Linked DNA regions of Alligator mississippiensis. The protein of the gene in region 1 purifies or fractionates together with the protein of each later gene. This does not show direct contact. Links are inferred from orthologs where the notes say so. Each region holds a gene or a part of one and is shown on either strand. Other genes may lie near its edges.

Region 1 (10,563 bases):
GGTTGGATTGTTCAGTTATCTTAATAAGCCAAGACTAATTCTTAATGGCAAAACAAGCAATGCTTTTATCCTGTGCAAATAGGGTAATACATCCACAATCTTTTGATAATGAGTAGTGACAGACATCTTTTCAATGCTCTGTTCAGTAATTCGGGGTCAATATGGATCCTCAGTTTATCTGAAGGGACTTTTTTTTCTTACCCACAGAATATATCAGTAGTATGTTTAGGTTGCGCATGGCATAGGGTACAGATACCTGATCTAGCTTCAAAAGTTAGCTCTGGAAGCAACCTACCTGCAACAGCACAGACCTCCACGTGGGCTAATTCACTCTGCTTCTTCACAGGGTGAAGGAGCCCTGGCTCTAGCATCCTCCTGATGCCTTGCCCTCCAGATGAGCTTGTCTGTGGTGGGCCGAGAAGCTCTGCTTCATTCCAGCACTTTGTGCAAGTGTTGGATCCTTGTTGTTATCCAGATTCAAGTTAACTGGCAAGTGTCACTTATTTTCTTCTAATAGTTAAATCTCTGTTCCTCAATTTAACAAGCTAGCTATCATTGGTGGGTTGCAAGACAACCTTTTTTTAGCAAACTCTAGGGCTCCAGTTCCTCATTTAAGGGACTGCTCTAGCACCTGCCCTTTAGTACACACCATACTGAGATTTCTGTCTGTAAGTGCTCCAGGCCTGTTAGCATCGCCTTGCCTTGCTTCCTGCCAGGATCCCTTGGTTTCTGGTCCTTGACACCAGACCCTGCTTTGTCTCTCCTGCATTCCAGTCTCTTGCTGTAGACTTGACTTGGCATCTGACTACAGACTTTGTCCATAGCCTGGTATCTCAAGCACACCTCTTGTTCTTGTCTTCTTTGTTAGATCCTGACTTCTGTGTAATGCTAGGACCTTTTGCTTTAGAAGCTGGGATGAACTACTGTAGCACATTATAATATTCTCATTCTTATTTTTCCCTAAAGGAGACCACAAAACCCGGTATCTTCACTTTTCCATATCTATTACCTTGCATGTTCAGCTCTGCCCACAAGTTTTATTCTAATGTGCATGCTTGTACAAGGGTTTTTGGCTTGAATACTAGGATTCTTGAATATCTGAATTCCCCAGCTACTTTATATTTGTTTTTCATTGCTGCTTTCAGTTCTTTTTAATCACACTTTCTTCTTTACTGTGAATTTTACTAAACTGATGATTTCCATCATGTTTCATGTACAGTGTTCTGGGTAATAACAGTCATACAACTAAATTGATTCATCATTAAAAACTATTTATAGACATGCAGGGTAGATGCATGTTCTGGTGTCTCCCCCAAAGTCTTCCCTCTTGGAATTTGTTGTTCTAGTTGAAGTTTTATGCAATTTGCTAGAGTTACATCATTACAATGGTTTTTACTGTTAACAGTTTTTATCAATTATTCTAATGGTCTTAAATAATTTTCTAAGTAGGTTTAAGGCTGGGAATTCCCTTAGTTTCACAAAATGTATCAAAAGCTTCATGAATATTAAGCAAGAAAATGAAATATAGTGTTAGAAATCAGTGTTGTCTGGGGTTATTGGTGTCGCTGTTGCTGTCATCCTCGTGGGTGTTATTGATATGTTCTCAGTATTGAAGTCTCAGGAACTGCAGTGTCTGCAAGTCACAGCCAGGAGATCTCAACACTAATCTTGCCTTAAAGAAAGACCACAGGCTTAGTTCGGTGGCAAAGATTTGGCCAGTTTTATTGTCTACAAGCACAGCCCTAACACATTTTGGCCTAACAAGTACATCAGACCAGGACCTAAGGCATTTGTACTTGTGACAAGGCACTCAGCACACCACCACACAGACTCCCCCCAGGCCACTACAAAATTCCTCTGCTTTCCAAATCTTTTTATACAATAAGCAAAACGAATTACATATTCCATCTGTATCTTGAATGTCTCCGGCTGTCCTGTTCTGTGGGCTTGGATTAACCTGTGCCTCAAGTGGTGTCACTTTGAGACTCTCAAAGAGCACTCAGCTAGAACTAGCGAGCCTCAAGGTGTAGAGGCCCACATGTCAAGTGTCCTGAGGATGGTCTCAAATGCAGTACGGTGATTCTCAACCAGGGGGCTGGGGCACCCAGGGGTGCTGTGAGGTCCTTTGAAGAGTGCTGCAAGGTGTGAGGTGATAAGATAAAATTGCAGGCTCAGATTCAGGCTCAGTCCCTACCTGGCTGCTCCCCTTCCTCCCCCCACCCAGTGCCCAGCCTGTCCCAGGAGGTAAGCACTGCACTCAACCAGTTCCTTTTTGAACTGGGGGCTGCTCAGTTCCCAAGCCTGATTGGGCGGGGGGGGAAGGGGAAGCCTCCAGTGTAGAAGGCCTGAGCCCCGCTGGTGTAAGGTGGAGCTTCCCCCAGGCAGCAGCCTGCAGCAGGGGGACTCATTGAAATCCTGAGGGCCAAGCAGGGAGCGATAGCGGGTCCAGCCCATTCATAGCCTAGATCAGGGGGTTTTGAATGTGAGGCTGCTCACAAACTTTTTATCACCCAGTGGGCCGGCCAGCCAGATTCAAAGACATCACAGGAAGTGGTATCATATCAGGAAGTGATGTCACGTGACCTTTGACACCAGTGAAGTTGCAGAGGTTGACATGGTGCTGGTTGATATGGCATGCGTGCCCAGGTTGACATGGTGCTGCAGGAGCCGCTTGGCTACAACCGGGTTGACCTGGTGCTGGAGAAGTCAGGGGCCAGGCCAGGGTTAACCTGGGGCCTGCCTGGCCTGCCAGTGCCATGCCTGGGTTGATATGGTGCTGCAGGACTGGCCTGGGCAGAACCGGGTCTGCACCGGCCAGGAAAAGCAGCATGCAGCTGAAGCCAGCTTCCCATGTGCTGCTGGGGACAGGATGTTGCACAAACGGCTAGTTTCATGCCCCTGGAGGCTTGTCCAATCCACCCCAGGAGAGAGTCACACACACAGGCTAGGTCCAATTTCAGATTTATTGTTTGCAAACAGATTGACCCAGGAGCTGAGCTCAAATCAGAGTCGACCACAAATTGTGTCTGCAACTTCTTTTTATAGCCAAGGTAAACAATAGATTTCAACGTATCGTGCAATTATTGGCAGACTTAGCATTACGTCTTGCATCGTATGTCTAGCAGTTACATGTTCTATGACGGTTTACATACATGTCTCATTTACATCTTAAATCCCCTCCCAGGGGCAGTTCTTAAGCTCCTCTGGTCATCCTTCGGTCAGGGTAAAATTTCTTAGCATCAACATTTTTCCCTGTCACTCTTCGCTTATCTCTTGTAAGGAGTTATTTATTGCATCCGTTCCTGGCTCCGTCTGCAGAATTTTAGTTCTATTCGTAAATCAATTGTTAGTCTACTTGTCTTAGTGATAAGTGTGGAAGAGAGAGTGAAAACATGCGGAGTGCATAAGCAATTACAAAAGCAAGGTGTATAGATTATGCTGTATTTTTACCACAAGGAGGAGGCCGGCCAGGTCTGCATCGGCCAGCAGAAGCGGTGGTGGAGCCGTGTGCCGCTCGGGACTGACCGGCGCAGGCTCGTCCCGTCCCGAGCAGTACACGGCTCCGCCACCGCTTCTGCTGGCCGATGCAGACCCGGCCGGGTTCCTCCAGTCCCCAGCAGCACGTGAGAAGCGGCCCCCTCAGGGCCTCGCGAGCTGGCGGCCGGGCCGGAGAGCAGCAGCGCGGTGGGGGGGGGGAAGAGCTCGTCGGGGGAGCAGGCGCCGCCTTGCTGTGGGGCAGGGCAGGGCAGGGCAGGGCAGCGGGGCTGGCTTGAAGCGGGCGGGTGACGAGGCAGGCGTGGGCCGGCAGTGGCAACGGCGGCTGCTTGGCCTCCGCATGGGGCGGATCCCCCCGGCCCCGCGGGGGTAAGCAGCTCCCTTCTCTTTGCTGCCGGCTGGGGCCGGCCCTGCCCGCCTCGCCGCGGCCCCGCCGCCGCCTCGGGCCAAATAAAATGGCTTGAACAAGCCTGGCCTAGAACTTGACTGAATCTCTGCGCTTGCAGAGACGCCGGCCCACAATTAGCTCGCTCAGCACGCCTCGCGTTCTGACAGCTGCGGACTGAGCCGCGATTGGCCGCGGCTAGACGCCACGCTGCCCTTTGATTGGCGCGAGTTCTCCCACCTCCCCGTGCGCCTGCGTTCCGATTCGCTCGGCCTGTCAGTGCCGGAGGCGGATTGGCTACGGCTTCGCCCTACCGAGTCGTCTGATTGGCTCGGGTGGGGAGGCGCGCGCGCGCCACAGAGAGTACCTGCTACTCGGCTGCAGCATCCCTCGGAGCTTTGGACAGGTGGCGCATGCGCGGTTCGCGCTGAGGAAAAGCAGCCGGGCTTTGCCAGTGAGCGGCTTGCGGGACTGGTTCGCCGGTAAATCCGCGCGGACCCGGGCTGAGGTGGGGGGAGGGGGCGCGACGCCGTGTGAAAGGGGCACGCGGGCAGAGGCAGGAGGACCACCCTCACGGGGACGTTTGCGTAGAGGCCTTAATCCCAGCGGGAGGCGGCCGCCCCTCCCTCTCCCCATTCCCCTTCGGCGGGGGTTACGTGGTGCGACCGTTGGGAGCCGTTGGAACGGGGTGGCCCAGAGCGTTGTGAGCCCGCCCCCCTGAAGCGGGGGCTGGTGTGCGGCACGGCCGTTGGGGCAGTTCGAACGCCGCGGCCCTGAGCGTTCTGAGCCCGCCCCCCCCCGCGGTGGGGGCTCGCGCAGGACCCGGCCCCCGCTTCCGCCCCCCGCCCCTATAGTGGGAAGAGCCTTCGCGCTCAGCAGTGACTAGCTACTTCTCGTGAGGGGCATAAGCAGGACCCCCCTAATTCCCGGCTGAGGAGCAGCTCTCGTGGGCTGGGGAGTGCAGAGGGTTAATTCGAGCCCATCGCTTCTCCTGTCCCCGCTGCTAAGCGATGAGATCAGATACAATCCGTCCCCCGGGGAGGGAGGAGGAGCCCTGGCTCTAGCATCCTCCTGATGCCTTGCCCTCCAGATGAGCTTGTCTGTGGTGGGCCCAGAAGCTCTGCTTCATTCCAGCACTTTGTGCGAGTGTTGGATCCTTGTTGTTATCCAGATTCAAGTTAACTCATGGTCCCCCAGCATCCTGGGGTGCTCTGCACCTCCCTCACAAACCCCACCTCACAGGGTGGGCGGGCTAGCATTGGCCTAAGCTGTCTGCTCCAGTGGAGCAGGGAGGCATGCTTTAGGCCCCCCCCCAGCCTGTGGCCTGGGACACTGCAGGCATGTGGATGCATTTCCAGAATCAAAAGTGAATGTCTGTTCACCTGCTTATCAGTTCAACCTACACAGCTTAGGCTAAGCCGCAAAGTTGAATTGATTCAGCCTCGGGCTTTTTGACTGTCTGTGCTTAGTTTGGGGGCTTCCGTGGTGCAGCTTTAGAAACCCAGTGACCAGAGCTGGCCTCATGAAGAGGGGCTGCCAGACCAGGCAGTGCTGAAGTAAAGCTCATGTTTTTTCTTGACAAGGAGCATAGTGTTTCACTCCATTCTTCATTGGAGATTGCAGCAAGAGAAGGTGAAGCACGTGTTTCTGCCACAGGCACTCAGAAAGGGAAATGCCAGTGAAGTAGCTGTTCCTGGGTATTAATTTGGGAACAAAGAGAAGGTGCCAGTGGATGGATGGAAGCTCAGGTGGAGTAAGAGTGAGCTGGTGCATAAGCCGAGACGGAAGGAGGAAGTGTGGATGTAGTCTGAAGGGCATTGTGTGTAACCCTGGGAGACCCCTAGAGAGTGGTCTTGTGGGCTTGGGAGTAGGCTGGAAGAGTTTTAGAGCTGTGAGCAAGAAGGCTCTGGTGGTTTGGATTTTTTTTTCCTGTGCTTGGAAAAGATTTGATTGCATTCTTGTAAATAGAAGTACATGAAAGAAACCTGATTCTGCTACCAATCACTACACCTCATTGGAATAATTAACAAGGCCCACATTTTGTTTAGCTGCTCAGCTAAAAAAGGACAATGCTAGCAGTCTTGTAAACTGAGGGTTGAAGGATACTAGGGTTTAATGGTATTTCTGTGCTGCTTTAACAGTGAGCATGGTCGCTGCCCTGTGTGCACCCAAGCCCACAAACTGTGTCACATACATGGCTCAGGAGTGGCCCTGAGCATATGCCATAGTGCCACACTTAGACCTTCTTAAAACAGCCTGAGTATGGTGCTGGGACTTGTGCTTAGGACTATTTCTGAGGCATCTGTGCTACGTAATTTATGGGCTTGCATGTATATATACTGGGCATAGGTAAGTATGGCTTATTTCTCACTGATACTCTTGGGATTGCTTTGGAGGTGGTATAGATGTATCCTAGGGACCCACTCTAGAGAAGAGAACTGTAGGAGTTGCCCTGCTTTCCATTAGAATTTGCTCTTATCTAGGTGAGATTAGTTCAGTCAAGTTGTCTGGATAGGTTCATAGTTTTCTCTTAAAGCTTTTGTTAGCCAGAGCAAGTTTACTGTAAGTATAAATGTAATCTAAAACAAAAATCCAAGTTTCACTTCCTGTTAGGTGGGTAAATAATGCGTCCAAAGCTGAAGTTAACCATAAAAATAATGTTTAGGGCTGCTTGTGTAGAATGTTAGGGCACCTATACATGTGCATTAAGGCTGCTCTGATGTGTTGTAATTACAGTGCGTTTGGGGCAGACTCGATTAATTGAGTCTGCTGAAGTGTGGTAATTACCGTGCTCCAGTAGACTCCAGCATCATGTGTATCAGTGTCCTCGCATGGAAAAATGGCAGTGGGGTGCTTTAACTAAAGCTTTAAGACAAGCTTTAGTTGAAGTGCCCTCACTGCCATTTTAAGCACAGAGATGCTGATGCATGTTGTGATCCGGGAGCTTTGATTAGAGCGGCTCTTGGAGCCATTCTAATTAAAGCACCCTGCCTCCTGGAGCATGTACTTTTCAGGGGTGTACTTTTTCCAGATCCTGACAAAGGGACTTTGATCCCAAAAGCTTGCAGAAAAGGACAGTTTTCTTTCCATTTTCCAGTTGGTCTAATAAAAGGTATCATTTTGGAACCAAGAGTTCTAGTTTTTTGTATGCCTTAGATCCTACTGTCCTCTCTACAACTCACTGTCCTTCTGAGTCTGCCCCGTGGTTTAACCACTTAGACCCATGACTGACGTTACTTTTGTCACGTGTTATGTACAGTATTGCACAACAAATTATAATGTGCCAGGTTTATCCTTGCATAAAATTGGTGAATCGGCAACAAAGAAGTTGGCTGTTGAAGCAGAAACATCTTGTGGTGCAGAAGTATCCTGCAATATTGTGTGGCCAGTTGGCATGTTATGATTTGTCATGCAACGTTTGCATACGATATGCAGCAAATATAACATCTGTAGGGGCTTTATGCTCTGTTCCAGTTCTGCTCAAACAGGATTATAGGCTTCCTCAATCAAAGTCTCTGGAAGGTAGTTGCAGATAAATTGCAACAAGCAACTGTTTGACAACTGAGGAGGGCCTGCCTTCTTTTTTAGTCCAGTAGCTTAGTGGTTCATGCACTTCTCAAGGGAGTAGGAGGCTCCAGTTCTTCTAGTTCTAGGCCCTTCTCAGTATCTTTAACATAACCACTAATCCATGGGCTAGGTAAAGCCAAGAGTGTCTGGCTCTGCGAGATGGACAGTATTGTGTAGGAAATGGTACTTTGTTCTGGCCCTCACTGCATATTTACAGGAAATAGATGTTGAATAAAATGCATAGAAAGCACTGGGAACAGGAGTAGCTTCCCTTCTCTTCCCTTCTTAGCTACCCAGACCCTCAATTATCAGGTTACACAAAAGTGAAACATAAAGAATCATTCTGTATTTACCAAGCCCAAGACTGCAAATTTAAGACCACCACCCCCTCCCACAGTTATTAGATTCTAGACATGGAAAAAATTGTTTTAATTCTTCATGTCTAGAATCTAGTTATTGGAGTGTCCTCTTAAATTCACCCCACGACCACCAGCGTTACAGGAAAAGTGGGGGGGGAGGGCAAGCAGCCTGCCCCACACCACTTGTCTCCCCCTGCTCCCCTTATGCCTGCCTTCCTGCTGGCCGCCTCCACCCCCCAATGCCTTACCCCCACTTCCATTTAGAATCATAGAAACACAGAAAGTTAGGGTTGGAAGGGACCTCAGGAAGTCATCTAATCCAACCCTCTGCTCAAAGCAGGGCCTCCCCCAACTAGATCATCCCAGCCAAAGCTTTGTCTAGCTGGGTTTTGAGAACCTCCAAGGATGGAGCTTCTACCACCTCTGTGGGTAACCTGTTCCAGTGTTTTACTACTCTTCTAGTGAGAAAATTCTTCCTAATATCTAATCTCAACTTCCCTTGCTGCAACTTGAGACCATTGCTCCTTGCTCTGTTGTCTGCCACCATTTAAAACAGTCTAGCTCCATCCTTTTTCAAACCCCCTTTCAGGTAGTTGAAGGCTGCTATTAAGTCTCCTTTTCTTTAGACTAAATAAGCCCAGTTCTCCCAGCCTTTCCTCATAAGTCATGTCCTTCAGCCCCCTCACCATTTTTGTTGCTGTCCACTGGACTCTCCAATTTGTCCACATCCTTTTTGAAGTGGGGGATCCAAAACTAAACACAGTACTCCAGATGTGGCCTCACCTGTGCTGAATAGAGGGAAATAATCACTTACCTTGACCTTCTGGCAACACATCTATCAATGCAGCCCATTTTGCTGTTAGTCTTTTTGGCAACAAGGGCACACTGCTGGCTCATATTCAGCTTATTGTCCACTGTAACCCCCAGGGGCTTTTCTGCAGAGCTGCTGCCAAGTGAGTCAGCCTCCAACCTGTACCGGTGCATGGGATTGTTCCATCCTAAGTGCAGGACTTTGCACTTGTCCTTGTTGAACCTCGTGGGATTCCTTTTGGCCCAATCCTCCAATTTGTCTAGATCACTCTGAATCCTAGCTCTACGCTCCAGTATATCTACTATTCCCTCCAGCTTGGTGTCATCTGCAGACTGGCAGAGGATGCAGTCTATGCCATCTTTCAGGTCATTTATAGAACAAAACTGGCCCCAGGACTGACCCCTGGGGCCCTCCACTTGATGCCAGCTGCCAACTAGACATTAAGCCATTGATTACTAATATACCCCTTCTCAGAGGTGACACGTAGGGGGTGCATGTGTAGCCCCTGAGCATAGTGGTGCACCCCTTGCAAAAAGGCACCGCTGACAGTGTGGGCGGTGCCTACAGGTGGTCACTGTTCACCACCCTTGCACTGATACCGCTGGCGGTGTCTGCAGGCAGTCTACTATTGCCGTGGGCGGTTGCCGCTCCTGGTCAGTGCTTGCTGCCACTCCCCCCCCCCAGCCGCTGACAGTGCTGGTGGCATATGCAGGAGCTCTGCGTTTATTGCCTCCAGCACAGTGGTGCCCCCCCCAGCCACCACGGGCATGCACCGTTCATATCCCATCTTGTACCTGCCCACCGCCTGCCTCTTACCTTTGCAGCTGCTCTGGCTCTGGCTCTGGCTCTGCTAGGGGTGTGGAGCCCCTGGCTCAGCCAGGCAGTAGTGGTGGCTCTGGCTTCAGCTTCCAGCCCAGGTCTGGCTCAGAGGCCCAGCAGCTTGCCCCAGCGCACTGCACACCTCTTCCCTCTGCTCCCCTGGCTCTGTGTGCCCCTTCCCCAGCCTTATACTGCACAGAACTAACTTATGTTCTGTTGTGACTTCTGCTGGATGAATAAAAAAGTTGTGTTATGGGGCCTAACAGAACCAAGTTGGAAGGCAGCTGTTCTCCTGTTCAATGACTATGAAGAAATAAACATCTGAAGCTTAATCTGATGTGGAGAACATGTATGCATGCATAAAGGATGTTTCTGACGAACATTTGGGGTTAAAATCCTGACTTTATTCAAGTCTCTGGAAGTTTGAATAGGTTCAGACCTAGGTCTGGGTGACAAAATGATTCCTTGTTCTCTTTCTGTGATCTCATTATTCTGGCTTCAGAATTTTTAAATAAAATATTAATTCCAGAAACAGTTAACCATACTGTTGAAGTGTCAAGTTCCAGGATGCTAAAGCAAATTTGTTGGCTGATGGTTAAGATTTTTTCTGCTTTATAAAAAAGCTGTTGTGCATGGTTTGCAGAGTTCCATCTTCAAGAGCCCCAGGAGCTGTGGTAAGATCAAGATTAGATGTTCTTTCAAGCTATTTTGGTGGCTTGAAGAGATGAATGAAAGGTACCTGGTTTCATAGGTTGTGTATATTGGTAGGGGGAAATCTACTCAAGGGATGCATGATTAATGATATTAAATAGCTTCCATATGTTTGTTGCCAGCATGTGGCAAGTGAGCCAACTAGTCTACAGACTTATTTTGCATTGTGTGGGTGTTGTTCTGACAAAGGCCTTGACTCCTCAGGAATCAAAAATTTTGCAGCCTTATTCTAATCTATCCTCAGTGTTCTTTCTTTCCTGGTAGCATATGTATGCTATTGTTGTCCAGTTGTCACTTGTGATGTAGAAATGTGAATATTTCTCAAGAGTTTTTAATGGGCATCAATGGCAGCTTGGAAAATCATCATCAGAATTTTAAATAGATTAGGGGAACATAGGCTGGAATCCAAGTGGGAG
Region 2 (10,563 bases), on another chromosome or scaffold:
ATTACTTTCTCCTTCAATGATAAATTCATCTCAAGACGCAGGGCCCACACAAAAACCCATGCACCACAAAAATACAATCTAGAGTGGGTCAACAAATGGAAAAATAATTTTATTACAGAATTTGAAGTTCATGGTTGGCTGCTTGATTCACTGTCACAGTAACAATCACAATAATGATGTTGTAGGGTCTAGCAAAATGAATATAGGTTAGTGTAATGGAATCCATACTCTCTGAACAGTCTGGGTAAAGGTACAATAACAGTAATGATGTTGCCTGAATTGGGGGTGGATAACTGGACTGGGGTTGAGGGAGGATCTCAGACATGTAAGGTTAATGTGATTTTATTTGGAAATGCTTGTTCATTCCTGGTCCTTCCAAGCAAAAGAGAATTCGGGATGGTTATATTAATCTATCTAAGCATAATACTCATAGTTAGGTTGTTGGCACACAGAGTCAAATAAAAACAATAGCAAGAAGTTCCTCCTTCCACCTCCAGCTTTCCAGGAAACCACCCCTCTGAGCGTAGAACTAAATGAGGATGGAACACTGACATTCCAGGTGATTCATAATGCAACTTGAAAAGGTTAAAGATTCTCTGGATTCCTTCTCTGAATTGGCTCCTATTTTACTTCCAATGTCAATTCAAAGCATTAGTCCTAACTGTTGAAAGGGTTCTGGGACAAATCATCTCTTCATTTATGAACTACCCAAGAACCTATAGTCCTTTGGGGCAGTGGAACAGGGTGAAATTTTGAAGGGACAGAAACAAGATCCGTGGAGGACTGCTGTCTGTGGAATGAATTATCAGAAGAGGTTGGATTTAAGTATCAGTTTATTTCTTACATTTTGGAGACCGTGCACTATAACATGCACACTTGTGAAGTCCCAATAGAAAGGCCAACACTGAATGGCCATGGGAACTGAATTTTGTTTCTTTCCAAGACTGTCCCTTCTACACATTTTTCCTCCCAATTTTTTCAGCATAGTTGGCTAGTGAGTCAACATATGATTTTCCTAAATAGTGCAATCTGTTTCCACCAACCATGATGCTAGGATGTTTGCAACAAGGAGTAGCAGGTATCTAAGCTTATGATAGGATAAGGATAGAACAGTTTCTTCAGCCTGTGTAGGATTTAGTCTTTGGATCTGGCAGGTGGAGGACTAGTAAACGTATCTGGTACCTGATGGGGCTTGGTTGTTTGCTCCTTCTGGCTGAGGATCTCAAACAGTCTTCTTGGTGGGTTAGAAGAGTTGCTGATGGGTGAAATAATGAAAACCATGTCTCAGGGGATTATTACCAATAATGTATTTTTCCTTTTCAATTCCTTGATTCAGGAGAAACAATAAAATATTACAAAATAGTTAAGGCATGAAAGAGAGAGCTAGAATAAGAGTAAAGTAGGGACAGCATTTTAGGAATGATTATGGTGACCAGGGACCAACAGACAGATCCCCATAGCAACCAAGTCTTCAGCCTGTTTCATGGAGTCCAAGCCTCCAGTCTGCCTCTGGTTAAGTCTTCAAACATCTGCAGTAGCCTCTGTTTCAAGACATCCAGATATATCTACACCGCATGACGCAATGCTATTCAGAAGTAGCCAAGTGAGGCCTGGTAAATGTAGTACTCTGGGTAATTTAATTTGATTTCTCAGCAGAATTCGTTGAGAGCTAGTTTGAGTGTCTCTGCAATCTCTACACAGTACCATGCAGTGTACACAAGTGGATCTCAGATTGGCCTCTTTAGTTGTCTTTTGACTCACCAATGACTTCCTTATTTAGTGGATGAGCATTGAGGGACTGCTGCTGCTGCCAACTATGCAGGGTAGATGTACCTGGATGTCTGGATATGAAAGCAGGGTGAATTACTTTGAGTGGGCTGTTCTGCTGCATTGCTTGTGGTATACAAGCTCAGATACACCTGCAGTCACAGTGGCTGCATCTACACAAGAAACTGACTGTGCAGTCATTTGGTACTTGTATACACAAGTACTAAATGACTGCGCAGTAACCGGAACTACTGCGTAGTAGCATCAGGGTTTGAATTATGGGAGAGCTTGGGGGGCCCCCCATAAAAGACGAGAGCTCCCCTGTAAGATTTGAAAATCGTAACCTGGGGGTCTTCGATTTTATTAGGGCATCTGATGGGCAGCCCAATTTATTTTCCAGACCCCCACACAAGAGTCAAAGTGTAATTCAAACCCTGAGTAGCAGCCCTGCATGACTTTGTGGTGATGTTGACTGCCCTGTGACACTACTGCTCAGTAGTAATGAGCTACTGTGCAATCAGCGTCTTATATAGATGTGACCAGTGGGTGTGTTTACATATGCGCAGTAATTTTGATTACTGCACAGTACGATCATGCGTCTACATGTGCATGCCTGTACTGCGCAGTAAATCTAGGGACTTACGCTGACTTGGGCATAAATTTGATGACTGCATGATGCGGGTATCAAATTTACACCTGATTAGTTACTGTGCAGTAATGCACATTTGGACATCTTACTGCGCAGTAACACTGTGCATGTGGACTGACTTGGGACTAAATTTAGGCTTTAACGCCTGCATGTGTACATGCCAGCCTATTCCCACTTACCACGCAGTAAATTTAAGCCAGTATAAATGCATGTGTAGGTATGCCCACAGCACAATGGTGCTGTGTCACAGTTCGTGCCCTATGACACTACTGCGCAGTAGTAACAAGTTACTGCACAGTAAGCATCTCCTGTAGACATGGCCAGTGTGTACAGGTTTCCCTTGCTTTATGCGGGTTTTGTATATGTGAATTCGCTTTTATGCGATGACCCTTTTTATACCAAAAATTCATTATATGCGAGGTAAATTCACTCTTATGTGATTGTTGTGGTGGAAGCCTGCAGTCAGCTGTTGTCAGGTGGGACAACATTGTGGGATTGTGGGAGCGACGCGCACCAAAATATAGTCTCCTGTGTGGATCTGTGCTCCTCGCTCGTTGTCTACAACATGTGTTTCTGTAGTTGCCATCCCCATTATGGTAGTGCCCTGTGCTTATGTGTACTGTCTGCTGTTAGTGAGTACCAAAATTGTCCTGTAAAAGTGGTAGAAATGGGGTTGGGGGTCAGCACAGTCGAGATCTTGGAACGTATCCCTATTTGTTATACTGTAAAGTGGGTTCCCTTTATGCGACTTTGAGTTACACGCCGTTTTCCAGGAATGCGTGTACAGCACAAAGCGAGGTATGTGCCTGGTCTGAAACCTTAACTAACACAAGGTTGCATCAAAGGGGCAAGACTTAGCAACCTACCCGCTGGGTGAACAGGGAACGCTTTCCTCCAGTTCCTTCTTCCTCCCTGGGGAAGGGTTTAGCTTTCCAGCAGCGATTCAAAGGCAGGAGGGCTGGGACCCCCGGGGGGGCGGGCCAACAGGCTCCACAGGGCAAACCCAGCCACGGCCCCTAGGACCCCCGCAGAGGGAAGCTTGCGCTGCTCTGCCCCGCAGAGACACGGTGGGGGTGTCACCACAGGAGCCACCTGGGAGCAAAGGCTGCTGCCCCCAGACCCCCAGGGAGGGGGCAGGATGGTGCCCCCGACCCTGAGCCGTGCCCCGCCCCCCCGGGATGCTGCGCGCGTTGGCGGTTAGAACGCGCCCCTCCCCCACGCGCGAGCGGCGGGGCGGGGCAGGGCTGTCACGCGTGGGGCCCCGCTCCGCTGCACTCAGCCAGCGCGGCGTGCACACGAAGCGAAAGCCTTGCGGTGGGGGGAGGGAGGGAGGCTCAGCCCTCCCCGCCCCCGCCAGCCCGCTTCGCTGCGAGACTGGCGGAGAGCAGCGGGCGGGGAGGTGGGGGGAAGCAGTACAGCCCGCCACACTGGGCCGAGCCGGGGCGGGCGCTGCACGCGAGGAGAGGCATCCCCCGCCTAACTACCTTTTGCACCAGTCCCGCAAACCGGCCTCCCGCGGGGGCGGGGCCGCGGCGGCGGGCCCCGAAAGCGGAGCGACAGGGGCGCGGGCCAATGGGCGGCGCGGCCCCGGCGCTGGAGCGCCGTTCCTCCAATGGGCGGGCGGCGCAGGGCGCGGCCGCCGGCTTGTCGTGAGGGGCCGGCCGCCAATGGTAGGAGGCGGGCTCCGCCCGGCGACCGGCCGGGCAGCCAATGGGAAGCGCGCGGGGCGGGCTGGGGTTCCGTGTGGAAAAGATGTAAGCTGGCTCGGGTGCAAAGTTTGGTTCCAAACCGTCTGCAGAGCGCGCGGGCGGCGGCACCGGCATTCCGCGTTCGGCCCCAGCCCAACCGCCGCTCCGGTCCGCTCTGCTCAGCCTCCAACGGGCGTCCGGGCGGGATGGCGGGCAGCGGCGCGGGCGAGCTGCGGCGGCCGCGGTGCCGGCGGGCGCGGCTGCTGTGCATGCTGGCGCTGACGTTCGTGTTCTTCGTGATGGAGGTGGTGGTGAGCCGGCTGACGGCGTCGCTGGCCATGCTGTCCGACTCCTTCCACATGCTGTCGGACGTGATGGCGCTGGTGGTGGCGCTGGTGGCCGTGCGCTTCGCGCAGCGCACCCGCGCCACCAAGAAGAACACATTCGGCTGGGTGCGCGCCGAGGTGATGGGCGCGCTGGTCAACGCTGTCTTCCTCACGGCGCTCTGCTTCACCATCCTGCTCGAGGCCATCGAGCGCTTCACTGAGCCACACGAGATCCAGCAGCCCCTCGTCGTGCTGGTGGCCGGCGTGGCCGGGCTGATCATCAACCTGCTGGGGCTCTGCCTCTTCCACCAGCACGGACATGGCCACAGCCACGGCCATGCGCACGGCGCTGCCCCGCCACCGCCACGCGCCAAGCTGCAGCGTTGCCCTGGTGAGGGCGATGCTGCCCTGCACAAGGAGGAGACCAACATGCTGGTGGACAACTACAGCGGCCCCAACGGGCTCAGCCAGGAGCAGCTGGGTGAGTCCCAACGGAGCTGGGGGCTGCACCCCCTTGGGGGACAGGGGAGAGGCCCTCTCCTGTCCCCTCCCCACACTTGCTGGCAGGGGCTGGGTTAATGTACAGGCAAGCCAGGCACATGCCTAGGCCACTAAGTGAAGAAGTGGCCTGGTTGTGGGTCTCTTACACATTATGATTGTTGAGTGACAATCAAGTTGGGGTGCACAAGTTCGTTTGCTGAGGTCCTGCTAAAGGGTTCACATGGCCCTGGGAAGGGGACCAATGATGTCCCGGAGCATCCCAGCACTTCTGGAGCTTGCCCAGGCACTGGCGGGAAGAGGGCAAAAGACCCCTGGTGGGTGCGGGTAAATGTGCCCTTTGCCTAGTGGGGTGTAGGAAGAACATACACCAACTGCAGATGCTTCTTCAGCCTGACGAAGGGTGTTTGTACCCAAAAGGTCACTAAGAAGATTTTTTCCAGCTATTTGAGTTGGTCTAATAAAAGATATCGGATTTACCTAAAGAACCTTGTCGCCCTTTGCCTAGTGGTTTTTCTTCGTGTGACCTCACCTAGCAGGGTTTTTTTTGTTTTTTTTTTTAAGGGTTGTCTCCCCCCCCCGAGTTTCAAAGAGCTTTGTAAAGGTAAAGAGAAACAGGTGGTTTCTCCATTTTGTAGCTGGAGGCACTGAGGATTTCATGATGCATTTGTAAGTCTTGCGGGGAGTCCCTTGGAGCAAGAGGCAGCTGTCTGCCACCTTGCACATCCCAAACTGCTGCCCTGCTGTGCTGTGACCCGGCTCCAGGCTGGGCAGCATATAACCCAGCACCTCTGTCCTGATACTCAGGGCTCTCCTGGGGATTGGGACTGGCTACATACTTGAGAAATTGCCACTTCCCTCATGTTCACGGTGGGCAGGGTGTTGTTCCAGGGGAGCAAGAAGATGTCCCCCAGTTGCGGGGAAGCTCATCTGTGCAGGAGACAGAGCTCTGGCAGGAGCTGGATGCAGACCGCACAACTTACTTCTGCAAGAGATAAAGCTTCCAAGTTTCTTCTTAGCTATGTGTTGTGTGTGCATGGGTTTGCACATTGATAGATGTACACACACGCACACTTTCTCACATCCACATACACACAGGTATGTGTATGTACACAACATCAAAGTTGTTTAAAGCTGTTCCTTCCACAGATTCTGAAAGGAAAATGATCTTGTTAAATGCTTAGGACCCATTCAAATGCTGCAGGGGCAGGGACCATACAAGGATGTGTAGTCACTTGGTCAAGGTCAAAAGCAAGTTGTCAAATGAGTTCAAGAGAAGTGAATTGCCCATTGCCACTAGGCAGTACTGCCTTCCTACCCTGAAGGAGAAATAGGTGTTGAAGCCCTGATGCCTTACAGTGTTGGGATAATGTAAGGAGACCATCAATCCTGATCAAACTGGGTTGGAGACGTACAGGAAACTTGGCTACAATTGCTATTTTTGTATTAGCTAGGTGAGTGATTCACAGAGTTGTTAGTACCATTCATTCATCTACATTCCGTATTGAGCAACTTCCTTTTCTGCTTTCTTTGCCTACTTGGTGTCTTTTTAATGGTGCTTTTCTTCCAGACATGGCAGGGACTTTTTCTATTGGAGATTTCCAGAACAAGAAAGAAAATACCTGATCATTACCAAATAGTGTTGTGTGTTAGTTTTCTAAAGATCAGTTTTGTGAAAGTATAGGAAAATTATGGTACTGATCCTAACCTGACCCTGAAATAAGCCGCTTTAATTTTGCATCTCTTCCGAGGTAAGTATCCTAGTAATTAGTTTGAAAAGATTTTAAACCGGTGGAAGATGTCTAAATGAGACATGGCTGTGTGACAAATACTTCTATTAGAGAGGGACTAGAGTTGCACCCTGGCTAGAGTTGTGACTAATTTTCCATTAAGTGTTTTTGTTTGTTTTCATTTGTTTGTTTTTTGTTGTTGTTGTTTTTTTTTTGTTGTTGTTTTTTCTGTGTGTTTTTTTTTGTTTTTTAAAGTAGGTAGCTTCAAAACTTAACAAGTTAGCCTGAAATGTCTCATGGTTGCCCCTCTGGCAGAGAATAGTGTTTTAGGTAGCAGGATAAGCAGTGGAGTATATGTGAAAGTTTAAATAGGTGGTATACCGTGTTATGCCGGTCCTGGAATCTTCAGTAAGGATGCCAAATTGAGAACTGCAAATGAGAACTGGTTCCTATGTCTATTTTTGTGAATGGTAGAATTAGCCATAGTTAGACTCATTGATGTGTTAGCCATATCAAAATATTACAGACCAGAGTGCTTCAATATACAAGGAAACACGGTGAAATGATACCCAGTGGTTGTATCCCAGGACTGAAAACGGCGTAGGCAGATGGACTGTTTTTCTTGAAGTGGGGGAAGAGGGCTGCCACCTGTTAAGTGTATTCGAGCAGGCATAGCCCAGATATCTGCATCTCTGCCTGAAATGCTTAAAGGTGATCGGCCTCTAGTAAGGTTTTAAGCCTCAGTTTTTTGAAGACCTGAAGAAACTCGTTTCAACTTACTCTGCTATAATTTGTCCGTGATAAAGGGAATGTTCTTCTAGTGAATGTGACAGGAACTTAAAAGTCAAATTGGGTTTCTGGGGTATAGGTTGTAATTATTGGAACTAAACTGATCTGAGTTCCAGCCTTATGCATTTATGTATCTGTCTTCTAAAGTATGTGGGTCATATACTGTTTGGATCATTGCATTTATTCAGTTGTACATGCTCCAAGGGACACCTCCTCCTCTCCCCCCCAAGACATAGGGATGTATCATGAAATTCCTCCATTAGATGCCTCTAGCTACAAAATGGAGAAACTACCTGTTTCTCTTTCAGTTGTGGGAAACATTGCCATGGACTTCAAAACAAAATAAGTAGTACTCATGAAGCAATGTGCATGTAGACTTCCATCAGGCATTGAATAGAAAAAATGCTTTCAAAGCTTTTTTTATTGTATTTAATTTCTGTGCAAAATGTGTGCTTTTCTGGGTCTTGAGCACAATCATGAATTCCATAGTTTATATTTACATAATATAAAAAGTAGGGGTAAGATTCAGACCAAACTGAATTGCTAAGATATAATCTATAAATGAGTGGCAGAGGATTTAAAACATCCATACAGAATCAGTTTTTTCATTACAATAGTTTGTTTTGGGACCATAGTTTCCAAATTTTATTGCAAGTTAAGCCATGAACTCATAAATGTTCAGTCTATAATACCCTTATTTTAATGATGTAGTGAAATAGTGTAATCATTGCACTGCTTTCTTTGCAGGTGATATAGAGAAAGATGGCAAGGATGACCTACAAATGAATGGGAATGCTGGCCGTCACTCTCTGGACATTGATGTTGAAGACACTAGTGGACAACTTAACATGCGTGGAGTTTTTTTGCATGTTCTTGGAGATGCATTGGGGTCAGTTATTGTGGTGGCGAATGCCTTAGTATTTTACTTCGTTTGGAATCCTTGTCCCAAAGATGGGCCCTGTGTTAATCCTTGTATCAATAGCCATTGTACGGAAAATGCTACTGTAGCCCCATCACTTTCCACAGTTAGCCCTTTGGAGCATGTGGCTGGTCCATGCTGGGTACTATATTTAGATCCCATTCTTTGTCTGATGATGGTGTGCATAATCCTTTACACAACTTACCCGTTACTTAAGGAATCGGCCCTTATCCTTTTACAAACTGTTCCAAAACAAATAGATATTCGTTCTTTGAGCCTGAAGCTGCATACACTTGAAGGAGTTGAAGCAGTCCATGAATTACATGTTTGGCAATTGGCAGGCAGCAGGATCATTGGCACTGCTCACATAAAATGTCATGACCCTGAATCATACATGAAAGTGGCTAAGCACATTAAAGAGATTTTTCATGATGAAGGAATTCATGCTACTACCATTCAGCCTGAATTTGCCAGTGTAGGCTCTGAATCAGGTGTAGGCAATTGCGAGCTTCCCTGCAGAACTCAATGTGCTTTGAAGCAGTGTTGTGGGACATCAGAAAACAGCGCTGAAAAGGAGATGGAAAAATCGTCTACAATTGGTATTTCATGTTCAGAAGTCATCACTGATTCTTCACACAGCAGAACTAGGAGGACTAAATCTGAGAGTATACCTGCTGTTAGGCTAGAGGCAAATGCTGACCAAAACAAACAGTTTGAATCATCTTTATAATTCCCAAAGTGGTGCTGCTTATATTTTGATGGCTTCACCCACAGCATTGTTGCAAGAAGAAGAGACAGATGTTCTGAGATACACTACTTGGCAAACTTGTATTTGCTGATGTCCCTATTCTTGTCACTTTGCTAAATCCAGAATACTTGTTTTAAGGAACATGATCATGTATCATGACATGATATGCTTGTGTTGACTGTGGTGAATGAGTCAGAAAGTGCACCAATGTTGTAACAACTTCAGAATGCCATTTCAGCCGAGACGACACTTTTTGTTGCACTTCAGATTTAAAATATCTCTTCCCATGAAAAGTTACTTGAGAGAAGTAAATAGGAACTTAAATTGTGTTACAAACTGCTCATTGGAGCTACTTTTTTCCTTTAATATTTGATTTGTAGATATTTTAATATATTTTTTATTTAGAAAACATAAGGAAACCAAAGTTCATAGATTTCTTTTTTTTGTTAAATATAACTACTTAAAACTGGAAACCACTTTGTTAGTTTCATGCATTTTCCTTAAACTTAGAAAATGAAAAATATGGACACTTTTCTAATGGATTTATTACATAACATATTTAAAAAAAAAAAAAAAAAAAGGAAAAAAGCATATCACATGATTGTTAGAAAGTGATCCATGTTTTCTCATGGGGGCTGTGAGGTGATTAAAAGTGGCTGCTTGTTTAAAAAAAAATTGGTCGCGAAAGGTATGTTTTGTTAAAGTATAAATTCAGTCTGCTATGTAACCCTCTTAGGCTGTGTAATTGTCAGAAAAATAATTTATAGTTTCAGTTACCACTTTATGAATTAGTCAGTGTTGTTTTTCCTTTTCAAATTCAGTCATTTTTATTTCATTAGCTTATTGTTTAAATTGTAGAATTTTACACAACACACATTCTGGTGCTGTAACACTGAAGTTGTAGCTTTAATTTTTAAGAGTGCTTCATTTAAATAAGTTAGTTTTTATCATGGTAATGCCAACCAGTACTGTTAAAGGGAAGGATCTTTCAAAACTGGCATTATAATTCCTGTAACTGCCCCCAAAAACTCACGTGGATGTAAATTTGTGCAGATAATCTCTGTCTGATAGGCCCAATTCTGTCCCCATGAAGTCTGTGAGAGATTTGACTTCTTCATTGTGGATGGCATGTAATCCAATATATTTTACTCTTTACCATGTCAAGAATTTACCTATGGGATATTTAAATGTTTACTTTAAAACCAAGAGACAACTGGCTCTGAAGAAGCTGTTACAGTGTACTGTCAACTAACATATTTACAAAAAATGCTGTGTGGGTGAGAGTAAAAGACAGTGTAAATGGGAATGCTAGGGACTTTAGTCCCCCATTGTGACTATGGTCAAAGCCAAACTCAATCCTTAAATCCACCTCCAGGCTTAGGTATATATGTTATGGGAAACAGTGTCTAGTAATTGAGCACAGGAATGGGAGTCGGAAGATTCAAGTTG
Region 3 (10,563 bases), on another chromosome or scaffold:
CCTGCCCAGGTCCTTGAACAGGCAAGGCTCTTTGGGTAGATTTGATATCTTTTATTACACCAACTGAGTAGTTGGGGAAAAGTTCATTGCAAGCTTTCAGGTGCAATCACCCTTCTTCAGGCATAGGAAGTCTCTGCTGTTCTGAGACTCCAAGAAATGAGAGAAGCTAGAAGTGTGGCGGGATGTCAGTGAGAACGTAAATAGGTAGAAATCAGGAAAATAAAAGGTAAAGCAGGGAAGGGTGGGGGGAGGGGGGCAAAGGTGAGTAAGGGGGTGTAGGTTGTAGCCATGTTGGTCTAAGGACGCAGGCAGACAAGGTTCTTTGGGTAAATCTGATATCTTTTATTAGACCAGCTCAAATAGTTGGAGACATGGGCGACTGGTGCCACCTTTGTGGAGGGGGGGCACGTGCCCCACCCTACGACCAGTCCTACCAACTTGGGGTGGGGGAGGAGTCCCCCCTCCACAAAGGTGATCTCGCTACCGGGGGGGCCCCCGGAGCCGTTCCTGTGATGGCCGATCGCTGTGCTGCAGCCTGCAGCAATTGGCTGGTGCTTTCAGGGGGGTACCTGCTCTCCGGCCTGCCCCCACACCCATCACTGAAGTGGTGAGCACAGCCTGTCAGAGGGTGCACCTGCGCTCTCGGGGGGGCACGTGCACCCCCATGCACCCTCTACCTGTCTGTCACCACTGACTGGAAAAATTCTTCTTTGCAAGCTTTCAGGTTTACCCTTGGCCAGGCTGAGGAAGCATCTGCAGTTGGTGTGTGCTCTTCCTGGATGGAAGCAATAGTAAAGGAGCCAAAGGGGAATAAGGGAGACTGCAGTCATACAAGGCAGAAAAGAGGCTGTCTGTACAAAAGGAAAGAGCTGGAAATTTGGAAGACAAAGGGCAGGACCCGCCTAGCTCCTTAGACCAACACGGCTACAACCAAGACCTCAGGCCCTGGAGAAACCCTCGGCAAGCAGATCAAGTCCCGCGTTTGGAGGACCTGCAGCTTGGTTTGGCGTGTTCATTTCCTGGCCAAGCACAACGTATTTCCAGAGGCTGAGGCAGAAACGGGGCGCTGGGCGGGCTGCCCGGGACCGGCGTCTCCTACAAGTCCCAGAGTGCCCGGGGAGGGGAAGGAGAGGCGGCCGCAGCTCCCGCCCCCCCCGTGCGCCGGGGCGGTCCCCGCTGGCAGTCGCGGGAGCGGGCGCGCTGGGAGCACGTGTGCGGCTGCGATCTGGGGCCGGGTCGGAGCCGGAGCCATGTTCCTGCAGTACTATCTCAACGAGCAGGGGGACCGGGTGTACACCCTCAAGGTGAGCCCCTGCCGCAGCCCCGGGACCTTTCTCGCCTTCCCTTATCTGCCCCAAGATCTCTTCCAGCCTCCCGCGCACGTCCTGTGCAGCCGGGGCCGTGTGTCGCTCTGCCCCTGGGTGCAGGTTTGCATCCCCCTGGTCGGGGGAGGCAGGCAGTGGGACAGCCCAGGGCAGGTGGGGCAGGGGGGTTGTGCCCCAGGGCTGGGGTGGGACCTGGGGGTCAGGATTGAGTAGTCATGGCAGAGTTGTGCCCGTGGAGCTCAGGGCTTGGGGGGGCAGCGAGTTGGGGGTTGAGTGACATGCCCTCGCCACCTGGGTGGAGGCTCAGAGCTGGGAGAGGAGGTGGCAGTGAGTGAAGCACAAAAGTGGAGCCGTGGGGGGTGGGGACGTCAGGGTGGCCAGACTTGGGTATTTGTATTTTAGGACCCAGTTGCCGTGACCTGGTATGATATCATCTCTTTCCATTTCCTTCCCTGTAGAAAGTAAGCCCCTCTGGCCAAGTGACTTCCTCTGCACATCCTGCCCGCTTCTCCCCAGATGACAAATACTCCCGCCACCGGGTCACCATCAAGAAGCGCTTTGGCGTCCTCATGACACAGCAGCCGCGGCCCATTATGTGAGGGCAGGCCTTTTCCCAGCTGGAAGCACAGAAACGTGCCCCTGACTGCCCTGAAATGGGACAGTCCTGCTCAGCTGAAGCTGGCTCAGTGGCTCCCTCTGCACCAACTCATCTTCCACTCCTTTGTTTATCCCTCTCCTTGTGATCTGACTGCTGATCCTAAACACATCCTAAAACCTTTCCCCATTCTCCTCTTGTCTGTGGAAAAACTGCTTTGATTCCCCTTTTGATCAAGCCAGAGTTAATCACTGTAGTTGAAAACATGGTTTGTCTTTTGATTGCCAATAAATTATCTGATGTTTATTTCTACCCTTAGCCCAGACTCTCCTTCCCTGCTGAGCTTTTAACCCTCTAGTAGTGGTGAAGCTGTACTCATTTGTTTCATGCTGTGCAGATGTTCATGTTGTGTTAGGAACTTAAGCATAACAAGGGAAGGTTTCTGACTAAGCTTTCATTGTTTTAGTAGGGAAGCATATTCATCATATTAGAAATGTGAGATGGCCTTTATTAGATGTGGGGGAAAGCTGCATTCAGGGTCTGATATGGGATCAGGTGGTTGGGCCGCATGGCAGGAAAGGTGGGGAAGATTCTACAAAGTGAAAGAGAGGAGACTGCAAGCTTGATGGAAGAGAATAAGCTTGAGTCTCTGCTGCTCAATTTGAGAGGGAAAGATACTGAATGCTAGTATCCCAGCACTGCACCACTCAGCTGCTTAGCTTGGCATTCAGGACTGGCATCAGTAGTGTAACTAAAGCACCCACTTAAGGAGTGCAGAAATAATACTTACCACAGATGCTGGCCCGCCATGCCACCAGCAGCCTAGCCGCTGTCTTTGACTTGTGCGTTGCTGGTGCCCAAGGTGTCACACCCATGATAACTCTGGGGGCTCTTGTTTATCCAGAGAAATATAAGACAACCCAAAGCAAGTTCCTTTGAATGATGCACCAGTTTATTGGGATATTATCAACCTATCAAAATTACTAATAGTGGCTATATGCAGCAGAAAATACATAGATATACTCAGTACTAAGCAGCGAGCTCTGAGGGCCCTCAGAATCCATCCTTATAGTTGAAGCAAGTTCCAGTTTCCCACACAAATGCCTTTGTGTGGAGGAGTTTTATACAGCTCAGATTCAAATTTCTGTATTCCTGCCCATTTCTCTGCGATAACTCTGTCTTGGCCAATCACGTAGGGAGCAAGGAAGCTCTGAGTCCTGACCTGTGACTGCTGTTCTTACCTGGAGTCATCACTTGGTGTTATCACCTGCCTAGATATCTCAAGTGTAAGAGTGATGTAGCTGTGATGGTCCAGAAATTATGCGAAAGGCAAGGATTTCTTAGGGTGAGATCTTTTATTGGACCAATTAAAGATCTCACCTTAAGAAATCCCTGTCTTTTGCATAGCTATCTCAACACACTTAAAACTATCCTGTTTCTCACATACTAATCACTGATTCAGACTGGACTGCTTTTGGGATCAGTCTACCCGGAGAAGGAATGTCATGAGACCCAGCGCTGGGCAGTTTGGGGCCTCGGGGCTCTCCAACAAAAGTGCAGGGCTGCCTTGTTAACACCTCTGTTTGCTGTGACCTATTTGGGACTGCCAGCACTTGAGGCTTCTGTACTCATTGCTATAACACGTAGGTTGGTTTTTATTTCCGCGTTTTCCCTTTAACCTGGGATTAGAAATGGCTGAAAAGGCCATTTTATGCAGCACTGAGAGAGATTAAATCGGAGTTTACTGAATCAATGTCCATTCATTTGTGGCTGATGAAAGAATGTTGTATGGGCAGAGTTTGGAACAGAACCCAGTCAGCTGTCCTGTTGCTGCTTTAACCACTAGATATTACTCCCCTGCTAGAGCCAGCCATAAAATCTAGGTGTGCCCTCCCAGGTCCCTGCCCTGACGTCAGAGGCTCATCCCACAGCATGGGCTGCAGCCTAGGAGTCATGACTTCTGGACCCCAGCAGTAACTACTAACTAGATACTGCTTCCCTACCACAGCTTGGAATGCAATTATAATCCTTCTTCCCACTTCTATCTTTTCCTTTTAGCTGCAAATCAGCTCTACTCATTTCAGAGACAGCAGAGAGTTCAGCATACTTTCACTGAAGTATGTGATGGATAAAGGTCACTGAAAGTTTGGGCTGTGCCTACCACCCAGAGGCCTCTTAAAGAGCCCAGCACTGTCAGATCTGTGCCAAAGAGGGAGTCACTAGTGTCATAATTTATACAGAGAGGCCACAAAGATGGGGATGTTCATTAACCCGAACCACTGAGAAATCCTGGGCCTGCTGCGCAGGCACCAGCACCCAGGACTCAGCCGGGCCCAGGGAGGCGGACAGGCAGGTGCCTGGTTTGCAAGTGCAAATATCAGCTGTCGCCTCAGAAGAGTCCCAGGACTCTTTGTCAGAGCCTTTGGCCTTTGGTCTTTGTCAGAGCAGGTGGACACAGAGCAGGGACAGCCAAGCTCTGCAGGACACAGGACCACTGGTCTGACACGGAGGCCCCAGGGCCTTGGCCAGGTGCCACACACAGCCTTCTGCCCCGGGATCATGAAGGGAAGGGCGCTGAGCTGCGCCCCTATCCCTCATTGCTCCCCACTCCTCTACGTCATCGCTCTTCCTGCTGAGGCTGACCTCAATGGGAGGCTAGAAGACATCATGAGTCCTTCCGGTCACGAACTACAACTCCCAGCGGCCCCCGCGGCCTGCCCCGCCCCGCCCCGCCGAGCCGGTGCCTGCGCGTGCGCATGCGCCGTGGCGGGCGGGAGGGTGAAGTGCGACTCTTCCAGCCCCAGAGCCCTTGCACCTGGCAGCCTCTTCTTCTCCCTCCTCCCCGGGCGCGGCCTCCGGGAGCAGACGCCGGTCCAAGGTAAACGACCGCGGCCCCTAACAGCCTTTCCCGCCTTTTTTGGGGGGCCCTATTCACGGGTACAGGGTTGGTGCGCATGCGCAGCTGAGCGTTCTCACCCCCTCCCGTTCCCCTAATTTAGTGGCAGGCTGCGCATGCGCAACTTGTCGCCCCGTCTCAATGGCAGGTGCCTGTCTCTCCCCATTACAGAGCAGCAGCTGCGGCATCCCTTGCAAGGCCATGTGCTGCCATGGATCCCCTTGCCACCACTGTCTGGCCCCTGCAGCAGGTCCGCATGGCAGGGCAGTGTTGGCCCCAGGCTTAATGCTGCCCCACCCCCCTGCCCTGCCACCTTGACCCTTGCTTGGTTTGGTTTGGCTTGGCTTGGCTTGGCGATCCTTGGGCTGCCCCAGTTTGCTGTAGCAATGGCACTGAGCTTGGAGGGGGCGTGCACATCCCAATACTGTGGGCTAGTGTGGGTGAGGCCTTGTCTGGTGTCTCCTTGGACCGAGCGCTCTTTAATAGCAACCTTCTTGTCCCATGACCCTAGGGAAAATCCAGCTGTGTTAACCTTGGGAGCTGGTGGAACTGGAGCATCGTTGAGTCACGGGGACCTCGTGGGCATTGCGTGGAAGAGTTTTTGCCCGGCGGGAGGATATTCAGCTGCCAGAGCCCTGAGGGATGGTGGCAGTCCTACTCCAGGACTTGGGATATTCAACCTTCCAGCACACTTTTTTGGTGCATCCAAAGTGCAAGGTGTATTAGCACAGAGTGCTCTTTGGGACCTGCTGGCGTACTCGCTGTCCTTGCTCGCCACACCAGAAATCGGTCAGTGATTCTCCTCCTCGTGCTCGGATCACTTGGTTTGCTTGGTCTCTTCGCACATTTTGCACCAGGACTTGGTGAAACCTCTTGTCTTTTTTTGCACTTTCACATGTTTCTAACCAATGGACCCCTCTTCAAACCAAATCCCTTTTTGGATATTTACCCAAAAAATAATTATTTGCATCAGGACGTGAAAGTTTCTTCTTGCCTGTTTTGGCACTGGAAGTCTGCAGAGTAGTAATAGTAACGGATTATCTGTGCAAACAGTTTCAAATCAGGAACTCTGACAAACAGCTCACTGAGTGAATCAGATAGCTGTTGATTGATTTACTGGGTAAACCATGGGTCAAGCCCTGCACTCCCTTCTTAGCCACACCCATGGAAAATTCACTTGATAATCAAGAGGTGTCTGGACACCACATAGTAGCAGATCACAGGAGATCCATGGTAGACATGCATTTGCTGTATGGTGGAACTTCTTGTTATGCAGTTCATTTTGCTACCTTCTTAAATTATCACTTCTTTTTTATTTATTAAGATTTCTGGATGATCATAATTTTAACATTTCCAGGAATGTATTAGATTGTTCCACCACCCTCCCAACAACAGCAACACAGTAGCTACACAATGGCTTCTGTCCGGTTCATGGTGACCCCTACGAAAATCGATGACATCCCAGGCCTCTCTGATACCAGCCCTGACCTCAGCTCCCGCTCTAGCTCCCGGGTTCGCTTCAGCTCCCGGGAGAGTGTTCCTGAGACAACCCGGAGTGAGGGCATGAGTGACTTCTCTGTAGCGACTACATCACTGGCTACGGTAGCAGCTGATCCAGCTAGTGATAAGATATCCAACCCTCGTGATGTGACAGAAGGTAAGAAGGATGTAGATGTTGATGTATGCGAATGAGGGGACTGAAAGTTATGGATGGTATTAATGCTTCTGGGTTGGCTTGGGCTTCTGTTGGACGTTAGAGGGAGACTGCTTCTGTATTAATTAGCAGTAAAGGAGGATGTTCTGTGGGGATGTAGAATCTGTCCACCTCAGTTTGTGCATACATTGGAAGTGGAGGCATGTGTTTTATGATAGCAGTGGAGATTGATCAACAGCTCCACCTTTAGTACATCCATTTGCTAGTTATTTTGTGGGCCCTTTGGAAATAGCAGACCTCTTCCAGCTACACTAGGGCCACTTCTTGGTATGTTGGAAATGCAGTGAGCTCTTTCAGAGCTTTGGGGTTGTATCCATTTGAACTGATGGCTGCTTTAGAGTTGATCACATTTAGGGTGGATGGTATGTTGCTATGACTGTTCTCCATAGGTAGTGGCATCTCACCAGATCTTCTGGCCACATGGAAACTCCTGGAATATCATGGAAGAGCAAAATACTTGCATTAAAGGCCAGGCTGGCACTGTGTTTGTGTTTCCTGGGAATGGGTGCCCACTTAGAGCTTTTCAGTTTTATTAGTGAGGTGACGCCCTGCTTGAAGATAGAAATAGCCATGTGAAGTCTGCATTTTCAGTGCATTTGTGGTGTTGACTCTGAACAGCTAAACTTGGTTCTGCTTTTCTTCAGACTCTTTTCCTATATTGGGAAATGCTGTATAAAGCCCGGGGGAAATGACTTAGGGGAATCTCGTTTCCTGTAACTGTGTTGACTTCCTTTTTATTGAAAATCTAGCCATAACTGGCTGCTAAGAGTCATGGCTTCTATTGGGATTTTTAGATAAAAGTTATGAGTTGGGGTTTTTTTTAGCTATTAATCCTGAGTCTCTTAATTAGGCACTGTGGCTGCCATAATGATACTGCAGGTAGATGAGTGCCTCTTTTTGGTGTTAAAGAATATGTACAATGAAATGCATCTGTCTTCTTAGGTGGGCCAGCAGCGTAACAGCAGCATTATATGCGGGTAGTTCCAAAATGTGGAAATCAGGAATGAGGCAGGGCAACTGGTCTACCAGTCACATTACCTTGGGTACATCTACCAGGGATATGGATCATCACACTGACATGGTTATGCTGTGTCTAGCACCCAAGCTGACCTGCTACTGCCCTGTCCGGTGCAAACCTGAAAGAAAGCAAAGGAGAACTCTGTGTTGCATTGAAACTGTAAAGTGGGATTTAGGGGAAGCAGAGGTGGGTCTTTAGACCTGGGGCACTCTGGCCGAAGTGTCAGGAGGTCTTCTACAGTGGTCACAAGCATTTGGGTCCTCATTTACACATTTTTCCTTGTGCCACAGAGGGAACACTAGGGTCATCTCTGACTGAGACAATGGTAACACTGAGCTGTCTTTTGCTGTTTCTTATTCTCCTTGAGCAAGCCAGTTCTGCTGTTGGGCTGCAGTCAGTTCTCCCAGAGTAGAAGAACTTTGTAAATGATTTTTTGCCTTATGAACCAGTAACTTTCACTTCCCAGGGACCAGGTTGGAGCCAGCATCCCATAAAGGGGAAAGTTCCATATCCCAATCCAAATCAATACTTTCCCTGCCCCCTCATTTGTCATCTTTTTGAACTAGCTCTTGTTTTCCACTTCTGGACTGAATTGGAGTCATCAACTCACAAAAGGAGAAGTCCTGTGTTCAGACTAATGGCATCTTAGTGACTAGGAAATGTGAGAGGCAGGGATTTTTGTGGGGGATATTGATTATTGCACCAACTCCATGGTTGGGGTAGACTTAGACAAGCTTTTGAATGCTGCACAGTATACTTGAAGGGAGGGTATTGGCTAATGTGGTCAGGCCTGTGTCCTTTCAGTGTTCAGCTGGGCTGAGAGCAGAAGTTGCCCTTTGTGCTTTTACGTATTACATTCCCTTGCCCTATTGTCTTGTCATCCCTTCCTCCCCCCCCCCCCCTCGGCTTTTTGCTGAGGCTGCCTCATTACAAAAGTCTGATCTTCAGCCTGATGCAGTCTGCTTGTCTCTGTCTAACCACACCACTTCCTGTTTTGAAAGCTTTGTCACAGTTTTCTGCAATGTTTGTGATCAAGGGCCTAAGGTGATTGTCCTTGGGTTAGGAAGGGACAGTTAATTGGTTTGTGGATGTTGTTATTCTCCAACTCAATCTGCTCATCATGGGTGCAAATGCATTCTCTTTTTTAAGTGATTGTCCTGTGTGGGTTTCTTAATTCTGTCCCCCCACCCCATGCACATAGAGGTGGGGATGCACATTTGCAGTGCTTGTAACACTCACAGTTATACATTAAGATAGTGCCTGTAATCTTATCTCATGCATTGGGGCTTCGGCCAGTCATCTGCAGGAATCATGAAGGATTTGTTTCCCCTGATGCACAACCATGCATAGAGGTCTTCTGAATTCTGGAGGGGGGATGTCCTTCTTTCCACTGCTTCAGGGAAAGGTAGATCTGCTACAGTAGGATGTGGGATATTGGGCTGAGGCGGTGGAGAGAATACGTTCTGTGATGCCTATCTTTGCTGTCTTGCTCAGGGACACATTTTGGGGTGGAAAGGAGTCTTTTTTTTTTTTCCCCCATGGCAGATTGAAAAACATTTTGGGAAAGGTATTTAGCTTTCCTTGCAGTCTAGGGTGTGAATCGCTTCTGCCAAGATTATCTTCCATATCTCCCCTGATTAATTTCCAGCCTTCTCAAAGGGGCTTTGGAATTGGTGGCACTATTCTTTGTCTGGAGCACACACTGTAGTCTCCTGAGTAGAGGTGAGTGTCTTTCTAAATCTGTAGACTTGGCATAGGGGTGAAACATGATGACTTCTGTTTTAGAGGCAATCAGACTAGGAGATCTTGTGGTTCCTTCTGGCCTTAAAGACTTTAAGCAGCATCAGTACATTATCCCCAACTTTCAAATTCAGCAAACTGGAAGTTGTGGCAACCATGTTCTTCACAAGGATCCTTTTAGTTGTCATCAGTGCCTTGTGATGCAACAAAGCTGCTGCTGTGGGAACTGGAGAAGATGCATGTGTGAATATGCATGCCCTGAAGGGAGACCAGATCACATACGCAGTCTGTACTTCAGAGACATTATATCCCTTGTACTTCTATTGAAATCCCTTGTATTTGTCTCTCTCAGTATGGCAGTTGTGCATTTTCAGCTACCATTTATTTTTGCAGAGCAGAAGAGAAAGGGGGAGAAGTGATATTCCTGTGCCTTAGATTCAGACATTTGAGGCAAGCTCCTACTTTCCTAAACATGTATGTGAGGCTGCCTTGGGAGGCTTGCTTTTTTTAAAACCTGCTTGCAAACAGACACATACCAAAGGCCTACATGATCCTAAATGTATCCACATATCCATGCAATTCTGTGCAAGGAGAACTGAGTTAAGCCTAAGATGAGGCCCCAGACCCTGGTGTGTGCTTCCTTCAGTGCTGAGCTGTCTCATCTATCCTCATTTTTTTTTCTGTCCCATTCCATAATACTCACTTTGATCCCATAATGAATATCCATTTGTTTCCCTCATCTATACTTTTATTCCTTGCTCCTCCTATGGCTGGAGCTAAGAGAGTAACAAGCCTTCTCATTGTGAGTGCCTTGCCAAATTCCCTTGATGCTGGGTGATAGATTTGTCCCTTTTGTGGGAGCTCTTACCCAGTTGGCATTTGGACTTGGTTATAGGGAGCATTGCCCATACGCTGGCTTATCCACCCAAACTAGTTGAGTTTATCCTTTCCAGGTTGTGAACAGAATGGAGTTAGGTCACCCTGACTTGCTTACAACACTACCTGTTTCCCCTCTTTTGCAGTTGGTGGGTGAGCCTGGATTCCTACCTAGGATGGGATTATTGAGATCGAAGTCTGTCCATAAAATTATCACTGTTGGTAGATTATGTGATCTTCCACCTGGCTAATACGGATTAGATTCTAGCTGTAACTCTAGGAAGAGCCCTATATGAATGTCGCCACAGTGGTGATCATAACTCCAGTTCTGTGCCCCAGTGTAGTTTCATAGTTGATGGGGTCGGAAGGGACCTGAGCAGATCATCAAGTCCAACCCCC

The links.
Region 2: the proteins of CLGN (region 1) and SLC30A1 purify together in Homo sapiens (co-immunoprecipitation; 3 studies listed by BioGRID and IntAct, with this or other methods). This does not show direct contact. The link is inferred for Alligator mississippiensis from reciprocal best matches to the Homo sapiens genes CLGN and SLC30A1.
Region 3: the proteins of CLGN (region 1) and SLC12A6 purify together in Homo sapiens (affinity purification with mass spectrometry; 3 studies listed by BioGRID and IntAct, with this or other methods). This does not show direct contact. The link is inferred for Alligator mississippiensis from reciprocal best matches to the Homo sapiens genes CLGN and SLC12A6.

What each region holds. Positions count from the first base shown.
Region 1 is NC_081825.1:104,596,681-104,607,243, forward strand, and holds the start of CLGN (calmegin), read left to right. Parts: upstream 1-4,244; 5' UTR 4,245-4,334; exon of another isoform or gene 4,335-4,362; intron 4,363-10,563. UniProt on the Homo sapiens protein: Functions during spermatogenesis as a chaperone for a range of client proteins that are important for sperm adhesion onto the egg zona pellucida and for subsequent penetration of the zona pellucida.
Region 2 is NC_081824.1:190,329,881-190,340,443, forward strand, and holds the start of SLC30A1 (proton-coupled zinc antiporter SLC30A1), read left to right. Parts: upstream 1-4,141; 5' UTR 4,142-4,310; coding exon 4,311-4,911; intron 4,912-8,194; coding exon 8,195-9,096; 3' UTR 9,097-10,563. UniProt on the Homo sapiens protein: Zinc ion:proton antiporter that could function at the plasma membrane mediating zinc efflux from cells against its electrochemical gradient protecting them from intracellular zinc accumulation and toxicity.
Region 3 is NC_081830.1:36,384,280-36,394,842, forward strand, and holds the start of SLC12A6 (solute carrier family 12 member 6), read left to right. Parts: upstream 1-4,661; 5' UTR 4,662-4,798; intron 4,799-5,327; 5' UTR 5,328-6,229; coding exon 6,230-6,473; intron 6,474-10,563. Other genes in the region: NOP10 (H/ACA ribonucleoprotein complex subunit 3), read left to right, coding at 1,251-1,304, 1,784-1,924.